Oryzias latipes: one gene and its partners. The protein of the gene in region 4 binds, or shares a complex with, the protein of the main gene of each other region. Links are inferred from orthologs where the notes say so. Each region holds a gene or a part of one and is shown on either strand. Other genes may lie near its edges. The genes, in order: kat14, tada2a, dr1, wdr5, KAT8 regulatory NSL complex subunit 1, kansl3 and phf20.

Evidence for each region.
Region 1: wdr5 (region 4) and kat14 share a complex: the UniProt entries of both Homo sapiens proteins name them as parts of the ADA2A-containing complex. The link is inferred for Oryzias latipes from reciprocal best matches to the Homo sapiens genes WDR5 and KAT14.
Region 2: wdr5 (region 4) and tada2a share a complex: the UniProt entries of both Homo sapiens proteins name them as parts of the ADA2A-containing complex. The link is inferred for Oryzias latipes from reciprocal best matches to the Homo sapiens genes WDR5 and TADA2A.
Region 3: wdr5 (region 4) and dr1 share a complex: the UniProt entries of both Homo sapiens proteins name them as parts of the ADA2A-containing complex. The link is inferred for Oryzias latipes from reciprocal best matches to the Homo sapiens genes WDR5 and DR1.
Region 5: wdr5 (region 4) and KAT8 regulatory NSL complex subunit 1 share a complex: the UniProt entries of both Homo sapiens proteins name them as parts of the NSL complex. The link is inferred for Oryzias latipes from reciprocal best matches to the Homo sapiens genes WDR5 and KANSL1.
Region 6: wdr5 (region 4) and kansl3 share a complex: the UniProt entries of both Homo sapiens proteins name them as parts of the NSL complex. The link is inferred for Oryzias latipes from reciprocal best matches to the Homo sapiens genes WDR5 and KANSL3.
Region 7: wdr5 (region 4) and phf20 share a complex: the UniProt entries of both Homo sapiens proteins name them as parts of the NSL complex. The link is inferred for Oryzias latipes from reciprocal best matches to the Homo sapiens genes WDR5 and PHF20.

The regions. Positions count from the first base shown.
Region 1 is NC_019859.2:454,268-458,410, forward strand, and holds the start of kat14 (cysteine-rich protein 2-binding protein), read right to left. Parts: upstream 2,801-4,143; 5' UTR 2,639-2,800; intron 1,035-2,638; 5' UTR 880-1,034; intron 812-879; 5' UTR 775-811; coding exon 522-774; intron 419-521; coding exon 297-418; intron 237-296; coding exon 115-236; intron 5-114; coding exon 1-4. UniProt on the Homo sapiens protein: Component of the ATAC complex, a complex with histone acetyltransferase activity on histones H3 and H4. May function as a scaffold for the ATAC complex to promote ATAC complex stability. Has also weak histone acetyltransferase activity toward histone H4.
Region 2 is NC_019871.2:10,133,050-10,137,256, reverse strand, and holds the start of tada2a (transcriptional adapter 2-alpha), read right to left. Parts: upstream 2,801-4,207; 5' UTR 2,700-2,800; coding exon 2,675-2,699; intron 2,285-2,674; coding exon 2,178-2,284; intron 657-2,177; coding exon 597-656; intron 516-596; coding exon 424-515; intron 1-423. UniProt on the Homo sapiens protein: Component of the ATAC complex, a complex with histone acetyltransferase activity on histones H3 and H4. Required for the function of some acidic activation domains, which activate transcription from a distant site. Binds double-stranded DNA.
Region 3 is NC_019862.2:24,028,850-24,033,098, forward strand, and holds the start of dr1 (protein Dr1), read right to left. Parts: upstream 2,801-4,249; 5' UTR 2,183-2,800; coding exon 1,963-2,182; intron 1,793-1,962; coding exon 1,629-1,792; intron 402-1,628; coding exon 255-401; 3' UTR 1-254. UniProt on the Homo sapiens protein: The association of the DR1/DRAP1 heterodimer with TBP results in a functional repression of both activated and basal transcription of class II genes.
Region 4 is NC_019870.2:23,025,019-23,029,032, reverse strand, and holds the start of wdr5 (WD repeat-containing protein 5), read left to right. Parts: upstream 1-1,214; 5' UTR 1,215-1,405; intron 1,406-2,041; 5' UTR 2,042-2,065; coding exon 2,066-2,146; intron 2,147-2,341; coding exon 2,342-2,450; intron 2,451-3,605; coding exon 3,606-3,679; intron 3,680-3,801; coding exon 3,802-3,891; intron 3,892-4,014. Other genes in the region: bromodomain-containing protein 3, read right to left, coding at 826-849.
Region 5 is NC_019877.2:19,788,183-19,791,671, forward strand, and holds the end of KAT8 regulatory NSL complex subunit 1, read right to left. Parts: coding exon 3,449-3,489; intron 3,365-3,448; coding exon 3,307-3,364; intron 2,866-3,306; coding exon 2,753-2,865; intron 2,675-2,752; coding exon 2,422-2,674; intron 944-2,421; coding exon 737-943; 3' UTR 501-736; downstream 1-500. UniProt on the Homo sapiens protein: Non-catalytic component of the NSL histone acetyltransferase complex, a multiprotein complex that mediates histone H4 acetylation at 'Lys-5'- and 'Lys-8' (H4K5ac and H4K8ac) at transcription start sites and promotes transcription initiation.
Region 6 is NC_019867.2:17,071,567-17,075,702, forward strand, and holds the start of kansl3 (KAT8 regulatory NSL complex subunit 3), read right to left. Parts: upstream 2,801-4,136; 5' UTR 2,625-2,800; intron 2,338-2,624; exon of another isoform or gene 2,291-2,337; 5' UTR 2,277-2,290; coding exon 2,068-2,276; intron 1,947-2,067; coding exon 1,776-1,946; intron 1,688-1,775; coding exon 1,597-1,687; intron 1,291-1,596; coding exon 1,105-1,290; intron 1,018-1,104; coding exon 889-1,017; intron 773-888; coding exon 656-772; intron 575-655; coding exon 476-574; intron 153-475; coding exon 81-152; intron 13-80; coding exon 1-12. UniProt on the Homo sapiens protein: Non-catalytic component of the NSL histone acetyltransferase complex, a multiprotein complex that mediates histone H4 acetylation at 'Lys-5'- and 'Lys-8' (H4K5ac and H4K8ac) at transcription start sites and promotes transcription initiation.
Region 7 is NC_019863.2:26,153,538-26,157,037, reverse strand, and holds part of phf20 (PHD finger protein 20), read right to left. Parts: intron 2,795-3,500; coding exon 2,606-2,794; intron 2,417-2,605; coding exon 2,321-2,416; intron 1,654-2,320; coding exon 1,498-1,653; intron 1,182-1,497; coding exon 1,000-1,181; intron 917-999; coding exon 817-916; intron 1-816. UniProt on the Homo sapiens protein: Methyllysine-binding protein, component of the MOF histone acetyltransferase protein complex.

The DNA of each region.
Region 1 (4,143 bases), on a different chromosome or scaffold from region 4:
CTTCCTGCAGAGAGACCGGGTCAGCGCCGGCGGGGGCCCACCTGTGCGGAGCCGCACAGGTGGGCCCGGCCGGCGGGGGCTCACCTGTGCGGCGCCCGGCCGGCGGGGGCTCACCTGGTTCCCAGCAGGAAGTTCCAGTGCCGGCCGATGAAGGCGCAGATGTCCTCCTTCCAGCGGAAGTAGCCCTGCCGGCCCGTCCCCTCCAGGGACAGGTTGTACATGGCCAACATCACCACCTGTCAAACACACACCTGTTCAGCCCCGCCCCCTCCCTCAGCGGGGTTTCGGGGGTGTACCTGCTGCCAGGTGAGCCGCATCCTCTCAAAGCTCTCCTTGCCGTCCTCGGAGCAGCTGCAGCAGGTGAACTTGAAGAAGTTGTCTCCTTTCAGGTAGCTGGGCTGTTCTCCTCGGAGCTGAGCTGCAACAGACACCCGTTAGAGCCCCCATCGCCATGGCAACGCTGCATGCAGCTAGGCTTAGGGAGCAGGATTTGGCCACGCCCCCTGTGGTGATGGGCTCACCTGCAGGGGTCCACTTGTGACAGCGCTCGCAGTAGAAGGACATGTCCTCGCAGGCCCAGCCGCCCTCCCCCTCCTCCCCCAGGTCGCTGGTCAGCGAGTCCCCGCTCTGGTCGTGGGACAGGTCCACCGAACCCTGATCCTCCGACTCCACGATCAGCAGAGTCTCCCCCTCCACCTCCCCCTCCTCCAGCCCCTCTGACGCCGACGTGCACGTCACCTCGTCCGCCGCCAGGGGCTCGCCGCTGCTGTCCATGTCCGCCCTCAGCCGCAGCGCCACCTGTGGGCCGGTCCTGTCGGTGCAGCGGCGTGAGCTCACGTCCCCTCACAGCCTCCACTCTCTCCGTTTCACAAAACATACCTGCCTCACGTGTCCTGTGGGCGGAGCCTGGCCTCAGCACGCCGCCGCTCCTCCTCCAGGTGTCGGGTCAGGACCTTCTGCTGCTCCAGCAACCGCAGGTTCTCCTTCTTCCTCTCCAGCCGCTCCAGATCCCGAACGACACCCTGGTGGAGGCGCTGCAGACGCCGGAGCAGAGGGGAGGAGTCAGTGAAAACGACACCTATTGGCCGCTGGCTGCTCGCGGCACGAGACGCCGGCATTAACAGGAGAGCAGTGATCCCTGGACCCCTCATGTTCTAGTGTAGAACCGGGTCCAGTCCCGGTTCAAATTCCTCCACTGCAGCGGCTGCAAGTCTGCATCCAGAACGCATCCTGTCATAGCCAGAACTGGGTCCAGAACAAGAAGGTTCTGTGTTCTAACGTTCCTCCTGCAGATCAGGAGCTGCATGCGGTTTGAGTTCTAGAGTTCTGTCTGCAGATTAGAGTCCAGAATCAGTCCAGCGGCTGTTCTGATCCCAACCAGACGTTTGATCCTCTTTCTAAAAACGTCACTAAGGATGATTTACAACAAAGTCCCAGGAGTGAAACTGATGGAAGCCCCCATGAAAGTTCTGATAGATGGGGGGGGCATGTAGGCGGGTCTGTGGTGTTCAGAGCCGGTCCCCCCCAGTTCTTCTTTGGACAAACAGGTGGAGTGGACGGCCCCACGAACCGCCCAGCATTTTAGAAAACAGAGTTTGTGTCGTAAAATGCCGTACTTGAACTGTTTGTGTTTGGTGCTTTGGTTGGTCTGGGACCGGTTCTAACATGTGACAGAACCATGTTAGCAACAAATGAGCCCAAATAAAATTAAAGTTAGTCAAAGGAAATGTGACACGGTTACAATGATTTAAGGTTAAAATGTCTAATAAATCCCAAGATAATCCAAATGTTGTGATCAGCATCCGTCTGAATGAAAAGAACAGGAAACTGTCATTTATGGAACAACAGACAGGGCCCTAGCATGGACCCCTGTGGACCCCCGTGGACAGACAATGGGCATTCTATTTGACCTGAATTCTATCACTTTTATTGAATTACCGGAAAGCCTGAATTTAATATTTGAATCTTTTTTTTCTACGATTTATGGTGTCGAACGCTCCAACCAGCCCTCCACGATTCCAGACGACCGTCAGTCCAGGAAGAGGGTCAGCCGGCCCTCTCCTGGTGGGCTACCTGGATCAGGTGTGTTCTGCCAATCAGAAACAGGCCTGATTCTAACCAGCATCTACTGAAGCAGGGTTGGTGGTCCCGGTCCAGAACTTTAGGAGCTCGACGTCTCAAAAATAACTCACAAACGTGTGGGCATCCCTGGAGTAGGAGGTCGGTTCGAATCCCTCAGGTTCGTTTTTGGAAGGGATTCTACTAAAATCCTGAAACACTCTGATAATAACAGGAACTGACACAATAAAACGCGTTTAACTTCAAAACCAGAAAATCAGCACTGAAGTCCACTCAACCGGAAGTCCGGGGGGAGGTCCCGAGGTCAGTCAGCATATATTTACATTAATGTTTATCACAACCATAACAGTCCAAACATAAACAGAAAACTAAATTTAAGAGAACTCTGCTTCTGTTGAACTTTTATTTTTGAGAGTGTAAACCGGAAGCTCTGGATAACTTGACGGACAGACGTTTTGGCATCAGCGTCAGCAGCGTCCGCAGACGGCACGCTGATGCTTATGGCCTTAAACCGGGTAAGCCGTTAGCCTCAACGCTACCGGGTGTTGGACCGGCTCACCTCTCGGTCCCAGGCCTGTTTCAGGTGCACAGTCGCCACGGTGCTCAGAGTCAGAACCACAGAAACTCCCAGAACCACTTTGGAGGTCACAGACATCACGGAGGGTTCAACTCAGCGCGAGCCCGCTGCAGCTGCCGCGTCCCGCTCTTCCTCTGCGCGGCTGACCGCTGAGCTGCGACGCAGCGCCCCCAGCGGCCGGGAGCGCAGCGGCCAGACTTTTTTTAAAAACTTTATTGTACAAACACAATTTTACAAGATAAATTTTAAATGTGCCAGGAGAGCATGAATATTACATGCATTTTACATAAAAACATTCAAGTTTCTACAGCGTTCATACTGACATTCACTGGTTAAGACTTTAAGAGATGGAATTGAGAGACATTTTACTCTGATTAACACGGGGAAAAAATAGAAGTTGAAGAGAATTTACATTTATGAATATCAAATTTGCCAAATATAATATAATTATTAGTTTTTTAATTGAGTCTAGGTTTTTTTTATGATAGCCATAAATATTTGAAAATATTAAATGTGGAAGTATATTCCAAATTTGTTGTAGTTTTTTTTAGGTAAGATTTGATCCAGTTGATCCATGTGTTATTTAGTGTTTTAAATCCAGAAAGTTTAGTCCTCCATTGTCATATGAGTTCATTAAAACTGATTTTTTTAAATAATGTACACGTTTTTTCCAATTAAAGTTAAATAAAACTTGTAAACAGATTTTAGTGGTTGACCGTCGGCATACAGAGATAAAGCAGAGTAGGTGAGTGGAGGGATTCCCTCTGCCTCTGACAGCAGGACTCTGCCCTTTAGGCTCCCAGCGGCCAGACAACCGGACTGAGCGCGTGCGACGTGACGTCATCTGAGAAAATAATAATAATAATAATAATGGATTGGATTTATCTGCGCTTTTCAAGACACCCAAAGTTCTTACATTGTGTCCATTATTCATTCACTCCTCATTCATACTTGGTGATGGTAGCTACAGTTGTAGCCACAGCTGCCCTGGGGCAGACTGACAGAGGTGTGGCTTTCGCGCCTACGGCCCCTCTGACCATCACCGGGATCATACATGTGCATTCACACACCAGTGGAGCCACACTGGAGGCAAGGAGGGTGAAGTGTCTTGCCCAAGGACACAACGACATTTTGGCTGGTGGGAGCGGGGATCGAACCGCCAACCCTTCAATCATTGGACGACCCGCTCAACCACCTGAGCCACTGTCGCCCCTGCAAAATGACTTACTTCCAGTTTCAACCAAATAATGTTTCAGCTAAACGTCATTTCTGTTCCTCTGCTGTCTTCTATTGGAGGAAACGTCTTCCTGACTCGCTCTGGAAAACTGTTTGGACCCTGCATCAGAAATGATGAATCAATATCATGAGAGACGTCTACTACAGACTCCTACATAGAATCCATCCCATAATCAATACATGATCAGATAGAAGAAGACTATTGACCCCAACTGTCTTCTCTGTAAACAACAGAAATGCAATATTACTAA
Region 2 (4,207 bases), on a different chromosome or scaffold from region 4:
TGAATAATAAAGTTTTTAAAAAATCAATTAAATTATTAGTGAATTCTCTGCTGCCTTTTTGTTGATTATACTAATTGCTTTTTTCTGTAAATGAAACAAAGGCTTTATATATATGGACAGAATATGCTTTTCCCCAAACTTCGAGGCAGTAACTAAATTACACTTAAATTAAAAAACAATATAACCACTGTTAAATAATATTTTCACCAATCTTCTTTTTTAAATAATTAATGTGAGATTTCCATTAAACAGCAGAAATGACTTGTAAAAATTGTCACATTTTGAAACCAAAAGACAATGAAACTAACATGACACCAATGATAAATAGCTAAATGATAAAACATTAAAAACTTGCTTTTTGAAGTTAGTAAAAATAAGTGTATTCAAAAAGAAAACACTGGTAAAATGTCTTCGACCTCTTACCAGTTCCCAAACCCGCAATCCATGACTGCCTCCAGCAGAGCCATCTCCTCCTGCGCCGTCCATCCAGGCTCCAGCACCGGGAAGTCTGAAGTCTGAGTCGAGGTAACACAAAAGATGCCCGCTAAACATGATGTTTAGCTACACCCGAGAAACTCAACTGCAGCTCCACTCACCATGATTTCATATCTGTGATCACTCTGATGCTTCTTGTATTCAAATCCTCTGGTAAAACACTGGAACGAAATAAGTTCAGGGTAAAGCTGGTCAGGTAAAAGACACGATTTGTTCATTAAATAAAAGTTCTTTGAATGCACTGAGGAGGTTTTCTTAACTGAGAAAAGTAAAACTTACATGCAAATTAAGTGAATTCATAAATTGTATCGATATGACGACCATGAAAGAAGCAGCAGTTATAATGTGGCTTATTTTTCAAATAAACCCAATCGTAAAGATCTGGTCATTTATTTCCCCATTAATTTAACAGTGAAGGAAATCATTTTGCAAAATAACAAAGTTCTAATCTAGAAAGAAAAAACAAGTGCATTTTTGGAAGTAACTAACAAAAGAATTTGTATTCAACACAGGTGTGTGAGAAAGCACAGTATTAAACCAGGTTAGACACAATTTGACTTCATCCTTTTAAATAATTTTAAAAGATTTCATAATATCAGTGTGCTATAAAACTATAATAAAGCGTCACTTTTTAAGAAACACATTTAGAAATGTGATCAACAACATTGTAATGTACTTTTAATACCCTTTTACTACAGAATGTAATACTATATTTAAAAACTGTACTTATTAATATATAGTTGATATATTTTATAGATACAAAATTAAATATGTCAATTATTTTAATTTTTAATAAAATTGTATCTATCATAGAATATTTGTAACAATAGAAAACCCTAGAAAATGTAACACTTAACACTCATAATAAAGAACATACATACAAAACATTATTTGGTTTAGCAATACGATCTAATGCTATTTGAACAAATTCAAAATTCAGAGTGCAAAAGTATTTTAATTTGTGCTACATGATTTTTTCTCAAATGTAATAATGTTTCTAAGGCAATAAATATATTATTTAATAATGGATGTAAGACTTACCGTATATCCTCCAATAATAGCCCTGACATTAATTGAAGACCAGCCACTATTGGAAGATATATGGTATTGGCAATGTAAAAAATAAATAAAACAATTGTTAAGAAACAGGATAATCAGTGGAACATGAAAGAACTGGACGGAACACCCTGACACCTCTTTATTATACACTGCCGTGGGATGGCATCATGTTCTTTCATTTGAATTTTTTTTCTCAAATCAGGTATAGTAGTTAGAAATCTGTGGAAGGCGATCAGTGCTGGGCGGGCACTGATGTGGAAACCTCCAGAAGTTCCAAAAATAAGGGTCAATCAATGGCTACAGAAATAAAAGCAGTTTGGCTATTTGGAAAACCTTGCATACCTTCTGCTGCTCATTGCACAAATGCGCGTTCCTCACAAATATGGACTCATTTAAAATATAAAGCAAACTAATTTTGCAGAAGTCTAACATTTATTGCCAAGAAGTTTTGCAACAACAACAAGGAAATACTGGGCTAAAAAAAAAAATCGTAAGGTTTTGTCCAAAGTGTTTAAACTGTGGTCTGTCTGCGTAAAGTTACAGCTGAGTTATTCGGTTTGTGTTCAAACACACATTCTAAAGAGCCAAAACAAACAAATTATAAGCATCCTCATCTGGCTTACCTGAAGACACAACAAAAAAGGTGAAGGTCCACATTCTGCGCACTTGATGTATGGTTCGGTTAGATGGGATGAGCAGCCTCTGCAAGGCGGTTTATCAAAGGGGTCATCTAAAATGAACAGAATAATTATATATATATTATCAGTAACAGTTTTAATAGTAACAACACGCAGTTAAAAAAGATACATATAGCCTAAAGTCGTGATTTTGGGGCAAACTTGAATGCACAAAACAGATGTTATCTTGGGCGAAGGACTAGCTTTACTAGTCGAGCTTGAAAATGATGATAATGTTGAATGTCTCAACAACAGGTCGAATATTTTCAACAAATCACTGCGGCAAACAAAAATAGCATTGTTTTTGACGGCGATGCTAATGCTAAAGATAGCTTAGCAGACCTTGCTTTATGGACAAAAACAGCTAACCTTCCAAAAAGTCGATGGATACTTGGTAAAACTGCAATAAATTCAACTGTGTGTATAATAATGCCAATACGTACCTGAAAAAGACGCTATTCGGTCCATTTAATTGCTATTTGCTTCTCAATAACAACACCAAAATTGAATTTGGGTCGATCTGTTTTTCAGAACTCGGCTATGTGCCTGATGACGTCATAACTAATCGAGCTCCGAATATCGATAGTTTTGGTCGTGTATCACCACACAAAATGATATATATACTATTATGTTTTAATAGTTGTGTGCCATGTCCTCATAGGTTCTTACAAAGGCAGAAGAAACTCAAAAATTTGAACAGAAAACAAATGTTGTTTAAAAAAATGTATGAAATATATAAAAAAGCCACATGGAATATTGCATTTTAATGCAAAATGATTTTTATAAAAAGGTATTTCATCTTTAACTTTCTTTTCCTTCTCTTAAGATTTTTGTTTTACATTTATTTTGCAATGGGGAGAGATTTTAACTTGTTTTTAGTTTCTCCATCTCATCACCATGACGACAGTACTTCCCTATATTGCCACAAGGTGCTGATCTTGCTCTATGTCTCTTAAGGCAACAATGAGCACCCTGAAAGCCTTTGTCTCCCTCCCAGCACAGATGATTACCTGAGGCTTGCATAAGCATCATGTGAGAAATAGAAATAAAGATGATGAATGTTCTGTGTCACAACACCCCCATGCTGCTTTTTGTCCTCCATAAACTTTTTGCAGAGGTGCTGCCTGGCCTGCAAAAGGCTTCAAGACATTTTCTTTAATATGAAAACCAGCAAATATTTATGAGTACCAATGTTTTCCAGTGCCTGTGTCCAGGTTTGGCACCCCCAATTCAAAAACAGCTCAAACACCCTCAAGAGCATGCCAGTGAGGGCCCATGAGGAGCCTTAGGAAAACAAATATCTGAAACCCTAATGCATAAAACTGCAAATCCACATGTGCCAAACTCACTTAAAGGTAGAAAAAATAAGTATTTGAGTGAAATGACTGATTTAGTACAGATGTGGCTGGAAAAAGGACTGTTTGATTTTCATGAAACCTCTTAACCTCTCTGCAGTTACTAATTATGACAGTTTTTATTCTAATATTTGCATTTCTGTCATTGATACCAGAAAATCTGATTCCTTCTTTCTTTGAGGTGATTCAGAGCAAATATATTTAGACTGCAAATCCCCACAGAGGATGAGGGCAGCTTCCTAAACCACATGATGGGTTAACTCTGAATGGGCTGCTCTGTTCCAGCTTGCTTGAGCCTTCTCTGTGAGTTCAATACATCCTGATTGGTCTGTTCGGTAGCATCCTAGCCTGCGACTCATCTCTGGAGCCTCTAGGGAGAGACACGGTTTTTAACGATAGTCTGTGTATGTTAAGGAGATGCACGCACACTCTTACTCTTTTGGAGGAATTTCCAGCTCACCGTCATACTAGCTTGTAATCATCCTTTGAGAGGGTCATGATTTATTCACCTATGAGGAGAGACTTCTCCTTTTTGTGTAACGGTTTGCTGTTGTGTGTTGAGCCAGAGTGAGCTTCCTTTTTTGTTCCTGGCTGCAGCATTCACACCACATGCCCACAAGT
Region 3 (4,249 bases), on a different chromosome or scaffold from region 4:
AAAAAACCCAGGGGAATATAAATTTAATGAAAAACTTCGCAAACAGCCTTTCCATTTTTACCATTTTCCGGTAAAAACGCTTCTTTGAATGTGCATGTGGGGCCGTTTCTCCCCTCGCATCCCTTTCTTTAGCTTTCTAAATTTCAAGTACACAAACATGTTTTAAGTCCCTGTTCATGGCAAAACTGAGATTTGTGTACCAAAACTTTCCTAACGTTAAATTCAAACACAGTAAAGTGGGTCGCGGGGGGGGGTCACATTTCGTCCTCTTCGTCTTCATCCTGAGAAGAGCCCGCCTGCTGGGCAACGCTTGCAGATGCTGCTGCCATCTGTGCCTGCTGGGCAGCCTGCTGCATCTGCAGCCACTCCTGCTGTTCAAGCTCCGCCTGCTGCTGCCGCGCCTGCAGAAGACGCACATTCTATCATGAGTGCTTGACACAATGTGGCACTTCAGGTTTACCCATTCAAGCTCATGGCAACCTGCAGTGAGTCCGGCCGGTTACTGCAGAAATAATAGTTTTTGGTAATTTTTTAAATATATACCGTACATGTAACTTCTCAAAAAGGTTTATCTTGTGTTGTTGGATATTTATTAAATGAATATCAAATACAACGCAGCAAATCAAACAAAGCAATACATAGGAACAAAATGTTTTTTTTAAAGGAATGTGAACAAAATACATCTCTCTGACCTTAAAGACCCACTCAAATAAAAATCATGCTTTTGGTGTTTTTAACATGTTCTTGTAGCATTTTTCTAGCTTACAGCCCCTCAAACCCCCAACCTAACTTTACCAGTGCGACAAAAATGATAAGCAATATTGGATTTCCAGCTGTATAGCTGAGTCGGAAGCCTGTTAAGACGAGGAAAAAGACGTACATGGATGCATTTGTCTGCAAGAGGATGTATCAGAATGGAGCAGAGAGGGAAGCTTGTGGCCCGCCGATTGTAGCTTTTTCCACACAGCATTTTGTCGTTTGCTCCTGACTCAGAACTATTTGAATGAAGAAATGCTCAGAAATGTAATATGAAGCTTGTTTTTCTTATGATACGTCTTCCATCATCAGAAAAATGCCACAAGAAGATTTTAGAAAACACCAAAAACATGATATTTTATTTGAGTGGGTCTTTAAAGTAAAAAACCTTTAGCAAAAACACACCATGGCCTGTCAGTTAAAGCTGAAAGGGCCACATTAACTTACTTTGAATGAGCAGAGAGTGCTTTGTTTCAGGACAATCAGCATAACTCAAAGAGGAAGTTACATTCAGGTTGATTTAAATGTGTATGCCTATATGATATTTGAAATTGTTTTGTGTGTACATGTCTTCATTTCTACAATACTTGACAGGAAAAGATTTTTTTTCATCTTAAATACTTCCTCTATGAGCTTAGTTAAGTATTTTCTATTAAAACACCTAAATTTGTTTGCATCCAATCTTAAAGGGGATTGATATCCTTAAATGGAATGACCAGTTTAGAAACTTTTGAAAATGTTAACAAAACCAAGCCCTTCTGTACCTCAAATGAAAAGTACAAGTTGTGTGCCCGTGTTCATCATGATCTGTAGGTTAATATTATTGTGGGTGTTCAAGCCACATTTGAAGGTGCAGTTTTCTGAGATCAGACCTTGGCAAATAACTCCTGCTGCTGCCTCAAGAGTTCCTCCTCCGGAATGCCCAGGTTTTCCAGTCGAGAGCTGGCCTTCCTCCTCTTAAGAGCAACCGTTTTGCACTCCTGCAGCACGTCTTTCACCTCTGTGATGTACGAGCCGAAACCAAGGCTCTCGAGGGCTGTGGTGCAGAAACACGAGGTTGAAACTACACTTTCTATGATGTGAAGCTTGCAGGAGGATCCGTGCTCCTTTGCATCCCCCCCCCCCCCACACACACACACACACCCACCCACATAAAGGACGAGCGATATTTAAAGAGGTGGTAAATACATGTAAATGAGAACCAACCGTTAATGACATGCTCTGGAGATATGGTCTTCTTGTCGGATTTGTTACAGATCTCATTCGCCTCGGAGGAAATAAGATGGATGAACTCTGTGCAGCAATTGACCACAAGCTCCCTGGCATCGTTGGCCACCCGTACGTTAGGCAAAGTTTCTTTGATCATTTTGTTGATAGCTGCTCTCGGTATGGTGAGGTCGTCGTCATTTCCAGACGAGGAAGCCATAGTGATGAAAAAAGGGGGGAAAGGAACAGAATAGTGGAACTCCGCTTCTTCGAGAAGATTTATCACGCGTTCACTGTCTTCTCTATGTCCATGTTACAGTAGACAGATAACGGTTCAAGAAAATATCGATGGAAATGTTGCCAAGCGAGCTAGTCTAAGTTAGCCCACTGGCTAGCTTACCAACCAAATGTCAAACAATGAGCAGGTTCTGTTGCTTGAGCGGCGCTCCTATATCGTATTTAATCGGCGAATAAATGTCCAAGATTGCTCTGAAGCTTACAGTAAAAAAAGGGAGGGGGAAGAAAAATTATATCCTTATATCCGTCGTCCGTGGCGAAACTGAGACGCAGCACACAAGTCCAATGAAAGCGGAGAGCATGGCTAAGCTAAGCTAACAATTAAGCGCAGATGAAGCGGAGCTGTTTGCTTTACGAAGCGCAAGAATTATAGTCAGTTCTACTCGTAAATAATTGGAGTATTTATATGTAAGTCCTGAACTTGACCAAAATTTGATTGCAGATGTTTTGTTTAGGTTTATAATTTGGAGTTGTGTACTGTACAAACATTAGCTGAAATGTGTCCGGTTACGACGTCAGACAAAGGGCGTTTTTGATTGGCTCCGAGTGTGCGCTATAACAATTTCCGGTGCCCACCAGGATGGAGTCGGGTGGTACAACAAATGATTGGAAATTGTTCCGCAGGGAGCTACAGATGTAATTATCTTTTTTTTCTTTCGTTACAAAACCAAACTATTATCTCTGATTTTTCTAAGATTGCCTACTTTTGGAAATATATTTATTTTAAATGAAGAAAAAAAAAGTATGTATCTACAAATGCATTGTTTTTAGCAGTTGTAACATTAATATTAAGAATAATTTGATTCATATAATTTGTGGTTGCTGATATGATTCATAGTTAATTTTAGATCATAGTGAACCAGTAAATTTATTACGATTCACTGACCTTATTTTGATCCAGAACATCTTCAGCCAAATATTCAACCAATGTGGCTCAGAGATAAATACCTGGGTACTAACAGTGCAAGGTGAAGTTTTTCCACATTCCTTGTATTTCTTTCAAGATAATCAAGTGTAAATTAAATATGTGTACAAACAAGCCAGTAATCAAGTACCAATGTCAAATCCATTCACATTTTAGTTTCATAAAGTTTTGCCTACTGTTGTTTTTCCACATAAAAAATAATACAAATGGAACATTATCAGAACATTCTACCACACTGTTTGGTCACGTCTTTGCTAAATCAAAAGTGTTTTGCTGTCATCTCGTGTGTGTGTGTGTTGTCCACTGTGATGCACGTGGTCATTTTTAAGTTACAGTAAAATAAACCTACAATGCCTCAATCCAAATGGTATTTTTCAGTAAAGATTATAGTCAATTTAATTTTGAAATGATCTTATGGTATTTATCGATTTGATTAACAACTTGTCTCAGACTTTGATCTGGATAAATAAATTAATTAAGTGTTACATCCCTACTATTCTTTGTTTTATCTGACTTAGAGTTGCCCCGTTGCCATGTGTGAACATTTTGTTTTTAAGTTATATTTACACTTCCAAAAAGTGTAAATATACATTAAATCAAGTTCTACCTGTAGAACTTGATCTAATGTAATTTCTAAAGACAAACATTTCAAAATGCCAAACAGTAGTTTCTCTCACAATGATCTTTATTTAGTGGCATAGAAAAATTAATAAAGAAATAGAACTTCCTTTGAAATTATGATAAATATTGTTGTTAGTGTTAGTTAATTCGTTTAAATAATAATTTTGGATTTTTTAACAGAAGCTAGCCAGCTTATTGAGAGCAACAGAAAAATATAACTGGGAACAATTTTACAATAGATCAAAAGATGGTAGAAGTGGGATTTAAACATGTTTAAAGTGAATTTTAATTAACACAGTGGAATTCGCCACTGTGTTAACTGTTTAAGCAGTTCTCATGCATCAAAATTTACACACTTCTCAAACCTTTTTTATTTAAGATTGCCTTCAAATACATATACTCTCTCAATTCAAATACTACTTCTGTAGAAGGCTTTTCAAAATG
Region 4 (4,014 bases):
TGGAGTAATTAACCAACTTAAAAATGTAAACATGGGAAGCTACAGCTCCATGAAAGCAAACCAAAACCACTGCAGCAGATTCCCTCCTTCACATTCCTCAGAAAGGGTCTTTAAGAACTGCAGAACGTGCCAGGCGGAAGTGGGCGGACGTGACAAAAACCGCGTGTTTTATCACTTTAACCCACAAGAACCCCTGTTGTTGTTGGACACGCGCGAGGAATGCCTTCTACTGGATACTGAAATGCTTCACGTGTGCACGAACTCTCAAAGTTTTACTCAGTTAAATAAGGGCTTTGTATCCTAGCAGATGGAGGCGTAGTCCCCAAAACGTTACTTCCAACAACTATTGTAAAAAATTATTTGTCAAACCACACAGACTTCCTGAAGAGACAATGCAAATGAATACCAATATTTTCTTCGAGGTCAAGAAACGTCCAACGTGTTAGCTATCATAATTAGCTAGTCTGTGCACAAATGAAATGTTTTTCTTGCCTGGTGGTGAACGAAAATCCTTTATTTCTTTAACTCTGCAACACCTAAAAATGCTGCTATAAAATGTTATTGAAAAAAAAGTCTGACTTTTTTATTTTAACTAGTCATAATATATATCAGGTATTTAAGCAATTTAAAAAAATCACCTAAGTTTTCTTTTTAATCCGTTTCGAGAAAAAACTCCGATCATCATCTAACGGGAAGGGAGGGTAGCGGCAAGTTGTTTACCAACTCGTATTGTTAAATTGGAATAAAAGTTCAAGCAATGCTCCTCTTCAAAAACAGTAAAACTTTACACCGAAGCTTGAACAGAAAAGTATGCGCTTCAAGTACCTCCACGGCGAAGTCAGTCACCATCTGCTAACTTCCTCTCCCGACCTGCTGCACCTACATGGCTGGCAATTCAATTCGTGTCTATTTGTCTGGGCACGTCAGCCCAGAAGTCAAAGGGGAATACTGCCATCTAGTGTTCTGGAGTGTCCACTGTTTTCATTTGGCAAAAAACGCAAATATTTTGCACTGACATATTTTTCTTTTGATAATACTATTATCAAAAGAGAATTATATATTTTGCTTCACTTAACTTTTTTTCTGGTAAATTGAAATATTAATTGCAAAATGTTTACGTCTTAAGGGAAAACTGCATTTTGTGACGTTTATTCTAACTCGTGCCATCGATACTTGATCCTCACAGGTTTCCGTTACTTCTGTGTGTGACGCGCCTGCGCATTGCACTGGCACACTACATTCCCTCGTTTCTTCGTTGGTTTTCTCGCAGCCAAACGTATACAAGGAGGCAGGTAGATTAGTTTTTTGTAAGTTTAGGATCATATTACGAAAAAACAGACTGGTTTTAATCGTGTTTTCTTCGGTGGAGGAAAAAAATCTGGAGGTGAATCTGTAAAACGTTTCTGTAAGTATGAGCGTTTGCGTAAATCTTCATTGTCTGAGGAGTAGAGGGCCGCTTTTGTGGCAGGTTGTCAATAGCTAAAAACAAGTGACCGCATGTACATAGTGCTGATAGTTTTCCTGAACATCTAGCACTTTATATTTTTTAACGTCTATTTCATATCCATTTGAACATGCAACGCGTCTTTTTTTCAAGTACAAATATATAAAGTCTGTCTGAAGTTGCGCCAAAGGAAGGTATTCCGCGTCGCTTTTGTTATATGATGCTGTTTTCACCTATTATTTCTTTATGGTAAACATTTTGACGTTAAAAATGTGGAAGCTGACTTTAATGTACATCAAATGCCACTTCGCGATGTTTTTGTTTTGCCAGTTAAGAAAAAAGAGTTTTTATACGTCAGCGTACCGAAGCTAACTGAGCTAGCTAAAATTTTTAGCCATCGAGCTAATTTGTAAACGCTTAATTTAGCCAATACGGCTATACAATCTACATTGCAATTGTATGCATCAACTTTACCTTTTAATAAACAAAATATTTCTACAACACGTTAAACTATAAACGAGAGTATAATAAATTTGACGAAGGGGCTGTGCAAGCATGTAATTTGAAATACTTGTGTGCTCTTCTGTCTCCTTGCAGTGCTCAGTAGATGCTATTTTTTTCATGATGGCAACCGAAGACAAGAAACCAGAGACTGACACAAAACCTCCAGTTGTGCAGTCAGCATCTGCAAGCCAAAGCAAGGTCTGGATATAAGAAAATGACTGAGTACTCTGGGCCGTGTTCTTGTGCAACTGCAGCTTTGCATCAATTGTTTCTTTTGTTTTCCAATTAATACAAGATTAAATGGTGAACAATGCATTTTGGTTTTTGTTTTAGCAGAGTTGATATGTACTTCTTTTCTATCTTACCAATGGCATTAAATGTGCCCCCCCACAGTCTGCGCCTGCAAAGCCAAACTACAGCCTGAAGTTCACGTTAGCAGGACACACCAAAGCCGTGTCTTCTGTCAAATTCAGTCCAAGTGGAGAATGGCTCGCCAGCTCATGTGAGTTCATCCTCCTCTGTGTGGCTTTTAAGCAATGAATGTCTCAAAATGTACTCAACATGAAACCATTATATTGGTTGATGTTGACCCTGTTCAAAGGGAGTTTACTCAATGAAAAAAAAAAACTATGTAGAGTTTACAAAATGTTAACATTTAGGAATCTAAACAAGAGGCCGTCAGCTCTCATCTACCTGCCCAGCTGTTGGACAGGACAAGTAAAAAAAAAAAGAGAGAGAAAAAAAACAAACATTTAGGAATCTTGAGTTTATTTCAAATGATTTTTCGGATTAATTGTTAGAACAAAACATGTGAAGTAGTTATGTACATATATATTTTTTTACTAAAGCCACTTTAGTAGTGTTATTCCTTTCTGCCCCTTTGGCTTTTTGCCCTGACGTTGGACTTTAAAAGGCCCATTTCACCATGGTGTCATATTTTGTTCCATTCTCCGATCCGCCTCCAGAGTTAGTCTCAGAGATGAAATAGGTGGGTGAAAGGGTAAGACAATGCCAGGGCTGTAACCAGCATCCAAATACTTGGAAATCTTTCTATCTTTTCAAGAACAATGTTTGGGCATATTTGTTGTCTTTATAAATATAGTAGAATATAGTACAAATAAACTTCACGCATTGTAATTATCACTCTAAATCAGCAGAATAATGTTGGAATTCGAGGATATAAACTGACAGATATCAGCTAAAGATGGTAAAGTGTGACAGTTTCATGCTGAAACTGATGATGATTTATTTTCTGAACCAACAGTGTTTAGTTTTGTTGGGAAAACCAAAAAATAGAAACTTATAAAGTGCTGTTCACTGATGCTCCAATATCCCATAATCCATCCAACTAACATACGTCACTGTGCCTCTGTGCTGTGGAGGTGGGGAACACGTTGAACTAAGAAGTTAACATTCACTGAGGCCCCCAGCCCCAAAATGAACTTGTCAAGGAGAAATAATCAGAGAAAACTAGAACCAAATTAGAATTAAACGTAGAATGTTCTAATCTAGTAAATATAGTTTTCTGTTTATCAGATGTATTAAACTTGTCATTTGGATCAATTTGTATGCTGTGTTACATTTGTGTGTAGTGTTGGCTTCATAATTGATGTGATGACAGTAATTCATAGATTTGACTGATGTTCTCTTGTTCCAGCTGCTGATAAACTCATCAAGATCTGGGGAGCGTATGATGGCAAGTTTGAGAAAACCATATCTGGACACAAACTTGTGAGTAAAACTGTACTCTGATATTGCTCTGATATGTTCTCTGGATTTCCTGTGGGAGGAATAGATTTTAGAAGCGCCCTTCTCCTTCTTATGTGTCTGAACTATTTCCCATGATCCTGCAGGGCATCTCTGATGTGGCCTGGTCCTCTGATTCCAACCTGCTGGTGTCTGCATCAGACGACAAAACCCTGAAAATCTGGGATGTCAACTCGGTAAGAAGGTTCTGCACTTGTTCTAGGAGCCAAAACGTATTTTTTTGGCACTTATTCTTGTTTACCCTTTAATTTAGTATATTTCCCCTTTTTAATTTCCTAAGTAATGACATCTGGGTAAAA
Region 5 (3,489 bases), on a different chromosome or scaffold from region 4:
ACGTCTGCGCAGATGCTGAAGGAATGATTGTGACGGTTCAAACACACAAAGGTTGTGTTGCTCTGGAAAAGGCGAAACGACAAACAGAACGAGTCAGGAATGCAGAACAGAAAGACGACAAACCAGCTCAACTAGACTGGACTGTGGGAAGTGCTCTGGTGATCTTAGGTGACCCCTAGAGGTGGTGGCGGCAGGGGGGGGGGGGGGACCCAATTTCCAAATGTACCTGTTTGAGAGGGGGTGGAAGGAGAGGTGGGGGCTTTTTTTTCTCTTTTGTTATTCGTCACTCCACTAAAAATGTACATGGGAATCACAAGCAAACTATAGAAAACACCCTTTGGCCATCTTTTGAGGAGTCCGCTACATAGTGCGCTACAAATGTACACGCGACATATGAAACACCACTAAGCCCGCCCCCCCCCCCCCCCCCCCCCCCCCCCCCCCATGTACATTGTTTAGCTTACTACAGAACTTCTTTTTTGTAATGTGTTGTTTTATACTTTTTTTTTACATTTATATTTTTTGCTGTGACAAAAACAAGTGTGGGGAAAGGCTATCTTCATAATGTTCACTAAAAACTGTGAAAGTATTAGACTGATGTTTGAATATCAAACAACAGGAACCCATTATATATATATATATCTTATTCTGCTTTGAGGTTCTGCTTGTTAATGCCAGAGAGGAGCTGCGCAGCGGCGAGGAGGAGTAGGCGGAGCCACCTCCCTCGGCTCTGCGCTCATCGGTGGGTGGAGGCCCGCTGTTTGAAGCTGCTGTCGTCGTCACACAGCAGCTCCATGTCGTCTGAGTCCAGGCGTCCACAAGCTGTTGCTCGGCAACCTGAGATGCTGCGCATTCTGGGCCTGATGTGGTCGGGCTCCGCCTCGGGCTCTGGTGCCGGGTCTTCTGGCAGGGGGAAGCTGCGGCGCTCCCACGGCGCGACCGTCTGGTTGGAAAACAAGAGGATCAAATGAACAACTTTGAAGCTTTAAGAGAGTTGAAACATAAATCCTTCAGTGACGATCCAATCAGAATCATTTAGACTTCTATTCAGGACAGAGTTAGGGGTTCATGTAGAACTTTGACGTGTCGACCAGCACACGCCATCAACACAGGGATCGTTATCAAGGTGGTGATCTCGTTGACAAATCAGGATCAGTGATCCATAGATCAAAGCACGATCCCATCTGTTGCTCTATGGATGAATTACTGGATCTATGAAAATGTATTTAAACTGGAGGGCCCGACGAAGCGGCTCCACACCCTCCCCACCCCGTGGAGAGGGTGTGCAGAGGTAAAATCTATCTTCTATCTCTAGAAGAGGAGACCAAAATCAACAAAACAGAACAGATAAAAACAGATTAAGGAGAAACCATAGTATGTATCACTTTAAACAGTCTCAAGGTTTTCTGTGAACTTCCTGGTTGACCTCATCAGTAAACAAAACATAACCAGCACTGTTGTTTAGGATCATTTTAGACCTAATCCTGAACACTCTCTTCAATTTCCAGTTTTCAAGTTTTGTTGACTACAGTTCCAGTAGATATTTGACACAATGTAGAAACACCTGAATAAAAATGCAACACTAAAAAACGCTCACAGGGTTTTCAACAGACATGTTTTACAAACTGATTCCAACATAAGGTTTATATAATATTCTTAAAATTATATTCATCATATTTGTATTCTATTTTACTCTGTTTTTTCTTTATATATTTAAAACATTTTTTGAACTTCTTTCAGTTAACTGATCTCTACGGAAAACACTCGTTAGCTTTACTTAGAAAAAGAGAAGCTTCTGGTTTTGATTTATAAACTTCAAATCCAACAGTCTGCATTTTAGAGCTTTAATTACATTTTATGGAGTCTACTTTTAACTATTGTATATTTATAAAGATCAGTTATGTGGGACATTGCTAATATTTATAATTGAATTTTCAGGAACAGCTGGGGAGTATTTGAGTATCCGGATACTCGTTACAGCTGTAATCAACTACCTGCACCAGCTCTGATTCAACTGCAGTGGAACTGCTGACTCGACCTGAGCATCGGCTGTGATCTTTATTCTTAGACCTCAGGAAAAAAACAAAAGAATTAAAACCTGAGGTTTGATGAACATTTTGAAGGAAACTGTGTGGGACAGCAGGAAATATTTCTGTGGTGACCTAGTTTAAAGCAAAAATCGGTTTGTTTTTGCTCTTCCAGAGATTCCCAGCTCTCATCCAGACCATCAGAGTGGAGAAGATTTCAGAACTTTGCTCTGACTGGGTCTCCTCGGTCTGATGAACGCTGTGAAACCGTTCAGCTTGTTCAGCTCATGGTTGTGTAAAAGCAGCTGCTCAGTTGTTTATTTAAAGATTTAAAACCAGATTTTGTGCCACTAGAATCAGACAAACGGAGGCGGCGGTCGATCGGGCCACATACCCGCTCTTCAAAGGTGAAATCTGGCGTTGAGCATCGCGTGTCCTCGTTGGACAGCAGCCGGTGGGAGTCCCTTGAGCACGGGGTCTGGGGGTTGGAGGAGGTGTCGGGGCTGGGCGGACTCATGGGAGACGGCACATGACTGTAGTCGTGGAGCAGGGGGTACGGGCCGGGGTCTGGGGATGCAGGCTGGGGGGTGGGAGGGTTGGTGCCACACAGCAGCGGTGTGGTGCGCCCATCCACAGACTTATATGACCTGAGGGAAACAAAGGCGGGCTTCAGAAACTCCCCCCTACCACGAAACACACGGACACTGGAGCCTGTGCGTTTTCACCTGCTGCCCCTCCGTTTGGCAGGAGCCAGCGCCATCCAGGTCCAGCGGCTGCGCTCCTGGTCCTCGTAGGGCTGATGGAGCTGAATGAAGGCTGCATCCGAGAGGTCCTCCACCTGCATCACAGCATGACATCAGATCTATCAGCCGTTTGTTTCAGGAAGAGCTTCCCAAATGGCGAGCAATGATGGAGCCATCTATTATTGCAGATGCCAGCTCAGACATAAATGGATCCATTTGTCTACAAGCAGATGCATCAGAATGGAGCGGAGCGGGGAGCCTTTGCCCCGCCCAGCGTATTTCCTACGCCATGCATACAACCTTTTTCAAATAACAATTCACTCCTGATTCACGCCGATCTGAATGAAGAAATACTCAGAAATGCAATTTTAATTTTCTCCATCAGCAGAAAAATGTTACTAAAACAAATTTAAAAAACCCAAAAACAGCCTTTTCAGATGAGTGGGTCTCAGTGTTTTAACAATGCAACGTCAGTCTGCTGCACAGAAACATGCGATCTAAGCATCGCCACGGTGACAAAAAGAATGGAGCTTTACCTCGCGCTCGTTCTCCTCCTCAGTTATGGATTGTGAGAAAATGTCCGCCGAGCGCCAACTGACAAAACAAGAGCCATGAGAGTTTGGTCCAAATGAAACAACAGGTGGAAGGGGCAGATCACGGGGGGGCATTTGCACCTACCTGGGTGTGAGAATCTCTTTGTATTGCAGCTTCTCCACCCT
Region 6 (4,136 bases), on a different chromosome or scaffold from region 4:
CATCAGAGAAACCTGAAATGCAACAGCAGCAAATTAAAGAATGTACTGAATTCAGATTTTAAATAACTTCCAAGTCTTACATGACAAGCAATGAGAGCGCCGGCGTTCCAGCCAACCAGCACGATGGGCTTGTGGGGGAAGTGACTGTGAACCTGTTGGCAAAAGTAGCAGCACATGAATAAAGCTGCCGAAGGCAGACATCAATTTTTATTAAAAGATACGTTTGTATTGCAAATACAATCCATATGGTACTTTCATTTTAACTTCACTAATATTTTTGGTTGGAAAAACTTGAATGTTTCTTATTATATAAACTTAATGTCTTTAAGATAAATCCTGTTTTTGATGAATTGCTAAGAAAGCAACCAAACATAGAAAAAAAAATACAGTAAGATTTTTTTCCACATGCCTATTAAAAACAAAAAAGCTGCACTCAAATTGATTAATTTTACAATCAATCATAAAGATCCCCTACCTCCATGACCTTTGCCCTTACAGTCCCAAGCATGTGCTCCAAACACTGAGTGATGCTAATACTGGCTCCACTGTTTACGTGAGTGTGCACTGGGATCACCTGCAACACAATCATTTGTTGTTGTTTTAGCAATTGACACCAATAATCCGAATATCACAAAGACTTCAATGTGTTTCAGACCTTTCCCAAGCAGGAGAGCTGGGACTGCCAGAACCTCATCCGCCGTGTTGTGGCAAGAGCCGGATTGGATGGGGTTGACGGGGCAATAAGGATGAGAGGAGATCCTGGAAGCTTACTCTGAAACAATCAAAAACAGACAGGGATACAGATTGTGCAATCAGAATTTGCTGAGGTAAACACAAAAGTCATACAATGCTATTGTCACACCAGGAACTGAGGTCTGAGGCTTTTACCGGTTTGTTTTGAGAGAGAACCCCGACAGCCGGATCCCATGGACGTTTCAGTAGCAGCGACAGAGCCTCTGCACTTGGAGCTCCAGTTTTTGCAGTCGGAAGTAACATTCTGTCTATCAACGATGGCAGCTTTGCATGTGTAGAAAAAAATGTATTATTAAGATGGAAATCCATCAAAAAAAAAACTTTTTTTTTGTCCAGTCACTAAGATCATACCTTGGTTTTGAGAGTCTGCAACACATCAAGGTAGGCAGCGAGCATCGGCAAGCTTAAAGATTCGATCAGAGTGGTGTGTAACCACTGTGTCAGTTTGGTGTCCCAGTTCATACTGGCGAGTGCTTGTCGAACTTTCCTGGCACACTTGTCCACAGCAATCCTTCTTAAAATGGGTTCATTGGAAGCCTAAAGGGAAAAGGGCAATACAAGTAACAAGTAATCAATTTCATTCAAAATAAATATTTTTGCAGAAATTCTCTCTTTTAATTTAATCTCACTGACTACAGAGAAAAAAAACCTATTCTCAATTTAGGTAATTTTTTAAAATCTAAAACAGGAGAAAAGCATATATTACTTTGCTGTCTAATCGTTGACTAAGTTTACAATAAATATAAACAATACACCAGCTTTTAGATTTTTTACCTCTATGTATAAAAAAGAATCATTAAGAAAAACAAATCAAAGAAAAGAGACTTTCATCAAATACATTACATCTTCATTGGCGAGACGTGCTAATCTCTCAGCTTGTAGAGCTTTCAGGACTTTATTAAACAATTTGTTTTGTGCCACCGACCATCCTGTCCTGAAATACCACAAAACATAAAGTCAAATTGAAATCACTGCAACTGATGTTCATGGTGTTGGTTTTATGTGAGTTTATTATCTTTTACTTGTTTATATGTTCCTCCCAGTCATCTGGGGGTGGGGGGCTCTCAGCAACTGTTCGAGCAAACAGAACATGTCGCTCGCACTCCTTCATCACACCAAGAGCTTTATGGTTATCATACAAAGGAACTGGGGAGGGTGTGACCGTCTCCACATCTATCAGGGAATCAGAGTCTCTGCAAAACAGAAAACATGGTATAGATGTAAAACATAAAAATAGTTGAGCAAAAAAATCCATTTGTCCTACCCAGCTGATAAAAAAAAAAAAGTCTTATTTCATTAAGCATTCAAACTCACAATGATGGCTCAGGCTGGCGACGGGGGGCAACAAAAAGCGTCCGTGTGGGGCGTGCGCTGCTGGCATCTGGGTGAGCATTCCACGGTTTGGCATAGCTGTGGTCTAGAAACACCAAATCCAGCTCTCTCTCATGAGCCGACAGCTGGAAAAGCAAGGATGTACTCATCTTGTGAGCTGATGTCTGCAACTCTTTGTCCACACGATGCATCCTCTTCCTGGGCCCTGAAGGGCCCAAGGAAAAAAAACAACAACCCTGCAGTCAGAGAAAACTGACGGGAAAAAGAAAATTTTGTTTTACTTCATACACAGAGATCTGTTATATTTACCATCTAGAAAACTTACATTCAACAAAAGTAACTTCAAATTAGGTATCAAACAGTTGTGATCACACACATTAATGCATGAAAGTTACTTATTTGTAGCTTTCGTGAAGTCAAAATCTAAAGTTAAAGAGTAAAGGCGTATTCGGCGCGGTAAGCAAAACTAGAATGCTAACATTAGCACAACTAGCTCTGACAGCCAGGCAATGACGTTATCGCCTTTTCCCCCAGATTACCTGTTCCTTTGACTATTCCATGCTGACCATTGGAGTCTGAATTTATTTTTTAATCGAAAAAAATAAATAAAAAAATAATGGAAACGGGGAATTTGTTAATAAACGAGAGTAAGCTATCACCACAATGTTACAAGCGTCAAGCCCTCACTTCCTCCTGTTGTGTGGTTTGTTGCCAAGTTTATCTCCTTATCCTTCTCTTTGGAGAGGACAAAAGAAACATCATGGCATGGCTGTATTTCAACGAAACTGGCAACCCAGCAAGTAAGGCGCGTCAGTGTGAGACTCGCAAAATACGAACTGGATCTTCGGATTTTTGATTACCAGTACGTTGAAATTAGGATTCATAATTAATAGGAGCATGTCCAATTTGAATTATGTGTAAAGTTTTTACATTTAGTATTTTTGTGTATGTCACGCAGTGTACAAGCACTAAATCAATCACGGACCCCACTGTCAAAGTACCAACTTGCTGCTTCAAAGTTTTTCAACGTCAGAATCAAATGAAGGCTTTCTGTGAAATAAAAAGAGAAAAGTGAGATTTCTGTAAAAAGGCAAGGCCCCTATCAATACAGGGATCGTTTCATATCCACAGACAAACATTTCAAGAAGACATTCCTGTCATTGTAGGGGCCTAGGTCTACTGAAGTCAAATGTTAGTTGTTGGTTAAAAAGGTTATCAACATCAATAGAAATTTGTTCAGACTTGAAGTGATGGAAAACACTAAATAGATAAAGTAGTCTGCTTTGGGTATTATGTTAGCTCCGTAAAACCTATGAAATTTCTCAAAACATGATGTCCATTCTTCTCTTTTTATATTGAGCAGCTACATTATTGACTTTTGTGATTCCTGTGCACAACACTTTTAAAAATCCAAGGTATATTAGGCTTTTTCCCCCACAGTTAAATCCACCATTTTCTTCACCGTCTTGTTTGTGTTCAAGTGACAGTAGATGATGCACCACATCACAGGGCAGTAAAATAACAACAGTCAATGGTTTTTGCAGCCGTACGAACAATGTTAACAGAACAAACTGCTTTACAACTTTAAAAATATGCAGTTTGTTTGTGTTTAAAACAATTTAGTGTTTATTCAGCCAGTCTTGAATCTTTCAATCTGCCAAGAAGACACATGATAAGCAGAACAGCTTAGCTGTTTTTACACAGCCATAACAGGATGCTCACCGTTGCTCCTTTTTTTTTTTTCCAAATGTGTGTTTTAAAAAGTTAAATGGACACCCTTTCTTTTAAAAAACTGTTATTTTGTTATATTGATATTGTTCCTCTTTGGAAGTAAAAAAAAATCACTTATCAATACCAAAAACCGCATGAGAAACTTTGACGACACTTCTGTTTTCTTTATTTTCTTGACAAGCCACTGAATAAACAAAACACATCCCGTCATGGGAGATACAACTGCCACCGTGAAAATAAAGTTTAAAATGTATAATTTTTGGGGAAAAACAGCTGTTGCAACATTGTGTTGAAACAAACAAGAATACCACTTCTGCTGG
Region 7 (3,500 bases), on a different chromosome or scaffold from region 4:
CAGACACTTTCGTGGAGCTCTTCACAATAAATAGGATTTCTCAACATCATCCTTCTGTGTCTTCCATTTGAGCAGTGAATTGACATTGTGTTCGTCAAATTCACTGCCTGACACTCGTCCAAAAGTGTGTCCATAAACCTGGTGGATGCCTTGACGCATGTGGGAGGAGCCATCGCCAAAAGTTTTTAGCATCTTTGCTACATGTGAACTTAGCATTATATTCACAGCAATTGATGAAAAATAAAAATAATGCTATAAAAATATACAAATTTTTAAAAGACATCATCACGATACCCAGATGGCCGGGACAATTGGCCAAATCTTGCCCTGATGCATTCATAATAAGCACTTTGAATGAAGCAAACAGCCAGAGCTAGCCGTTTCCTCTACACATGCGAAATGACCGCATTGTTCCAAGTTTAAATGTCTTTTAGCAAATCACAGTTCACTACTAACCAGTTTTAACCACTAAGAGTAACCCCCATTTCTCCACTTTCTAAGCGTGAGAGAACTAGGTAGTTGAGGTTAAATGATTCATGACCAGTTCACGACCTTACTGACACAGCACATCCTAAAAAGTTTTTTTTAAAGACAGGAAGTCGCATCGCGTTGACCAGAAAAAAATTTAAGACCATTCACGACAACTTAATATTTTAGATGGCCTTATTTTGGTCAATTAAATCTAAGACCTTAAAAGATTTCATCAAGGATCCGGGGCCACCCTGTAAGCATTTAAACTGGATTTAAAAAAATAAATTAAAAAAAGCAAATATGACTTAAGGCATGCTACCACTGCTTTGTTCTTCCTTCGTTTACCTGGAGGGTCTCTGCAGATGTAGCATGTGTATCTGTCCGGGACGTTGTCCTCCAGCAGACCCATGCAGGTGCCGTGCTGCCAGCACAAACAATCTTCACACTAACACAGGAGAAACATATTTCACCAACTGAAAGGCCGTGTCCCTTAAAGCAAACCTTTGGAAAAGTAAACTGCCAGCTCACCTGAATCATGAAGTCATTCTCTTCCTCCACTTCACAGATACATCGGACAATTTCTTGATCGTTTGTGTCCACGGCACCAGAGTCTGTGCTAAGAGGTGGAGTAGTGACGTCCAAATCCATGTCGAAGTCATCATCGCTCCACCCGCAGCTGTCAGTGGACCAGTCACTTATGCTGTCCTCGTCTACAGGAACCAACACAAAAGGATTCAGTTTAACCCGATTGAAAACTCTGTTAAAAAAAAGTGAGCTCTAAATAAAATCTGATTTATGTGATTAAGCAAGCAGGAGCAGCAAGCAGCTCAGGCTTCAGCCCACCATGCCTTCCTATGGGAGCGGCAGCATTTGTTTTAAGGTGGAGGAAGATTTGTCACATGGTGGACTGAATCCAGAGAAAACAGAAGAACGTAACAAGAGGAGCCAAAGACGTTCACAGAAAGACACAATCTGCACAAACTAACACACACACACAGACTCTCACACCGTCACAAAGGTACCCACCATCCACATGTATCTGCTCAGAGAAGCTGTGTCCAGGCCTGCTGGGGTAGGCCTCGGGTTTGTGATTGTGTGAGAGGGGGGGTTTGAGTTGCAAATTCAATTTGGAGTGAAGACCCAATACTGAAATGTCAATATTCTCCTCACTACCTGTGTGGTCTGTTAACACAGGGAGGGGGGAAGCAGATGTAGAACAGAGAAGTAAGCTTTGAAAATGCTCAGCGCCCAGGAGGAAAACGTGACAACAAACATTTGATTAAAAACTTCCTTCAAAACGTGTCCTCTAAAACATTTTTAAATCCAATAAAACTAAAAATCCCAGAGCCCCACCCCTTCACATCATTGAAAATCCCCAAATGTTCTCTGTAGATATTATAGTGAGTTAATTCAGTAGTATGCAGGGGTTGGGAGATATTCAGGTTTAGAAGTGTCCTCTACAGATGACAAACTTTGTCAGGAGGATATAACACAAATTCATCAAGCCTCCGGCCAAAGGAAGCCAGGCAGGATGTACAACAATGTCCATGTCAACCCTTCAAATATGTATGTGTGTGAGTGGATGCCAATAAGAGACAGAAAAAAGTATTTTCTTCTTGATTAGTCTGCATTCGAGCGGCAAAACAACTCTTATTATTACCAAAACTTAGGTTCTAAAATAAACTGTGGCTTCTTGAAGACTCAGACCAGCAGGACACACACAGAAGCTCGATCAGCACACAGAAAGGAGTGAATGAGGTGCTTTAACTTTGCACACAATGTCACAGCCAGAGCACATGCAGGGCAGCAGCTTTTCGACCTCGCCCTGTGCCAGGGACCTGGTTCTTACCAGACTTGGCTTTCTTTTTCTTCTTCTTCTTCTTGAGTTTAATGCGGAGGAAGTCCTTCTGTTTTGGTTTCTCCTTAGTTTTGTCTTTTACAGACCCTGGAGACCATTGAGTGAGAAGAATTAAGCCCAATCCAAGTAAAGCCAAGATAATTCCACTGGTACTTGAATAGAAGTGTATCGTACGAGGTCAAACCAACGATGAACAGCATGAAATATGTATAAACAAAATAAAAAAAAGGAATCCTTTTTTATTTAAATAAAAATGACACCCAGCATCATACTGACCAAAGTCAAAGCCACCCTTGTCTGAGTCCTGCAGCTGGCAGCTGATCCTGTCCAGCTGGTTCTCTTTGCTCTTCTCCCTCAGCAGCGCCCTCTGCTGTTGACCATGCGTGCTTACTGCAGGTGGTGCGGATGTGCGCCTGCCAGCAGTCTTCACATCACCACGATGAGCTGCACCCCCCACAGTCGAGTCTGTAAAAACCAGAAGAAAGGTCAACACGGGGTTAAAACATGTTTGGTGAGCCCCTTTTTTTCTTTCAATGGTTACATAGACTTATTCTATTAGACCAAACCTGGATTAACCAGCCTTAAATCTGTGGATTTGGTAAAAATAAATAAATAAATAAAAACTCCATTGAGAATCCCACGACTTATAACTGAAAATACTAGAGAAAATATGAAAAAAGGCATTTGATGAATACAGTGTTTTGTCATTTATCACAGGGGTTATGTTCTAAAAATAACCCAAAATAAGTGACATTTGCAAAGTAGGAATACAGATGTTTTAAGGCTGTAAATTATCTTTAATCCTACACTCCTCTTTAAACACTTTTCTCAGACAGACGTGGACATTTTCACACTTTTCTCGTGCTTAAACTCTCAAAGTTCAAACCTCCTTAGAAAAATTAATCTAATATTATAGAATAAAAAAGATTTACTCGGGATTCAAGATTTATTTAGATTTGGCAAACTGAGCACATTCTGTACAGGAGAGACGGCACGGATGAGATTGATCGAAAAGATAACATATTTCCGTGCATATTTCTTATTCTGATGGTGATCAATGTTTCTTTGACATAAACAAAAGAAATTGTAAAGCATTTCTTCAAATGTATATTTACAGATGTCCATCTTCTTTATTTAAATAAAACTTCACCAAAACAACAGAACAAACACT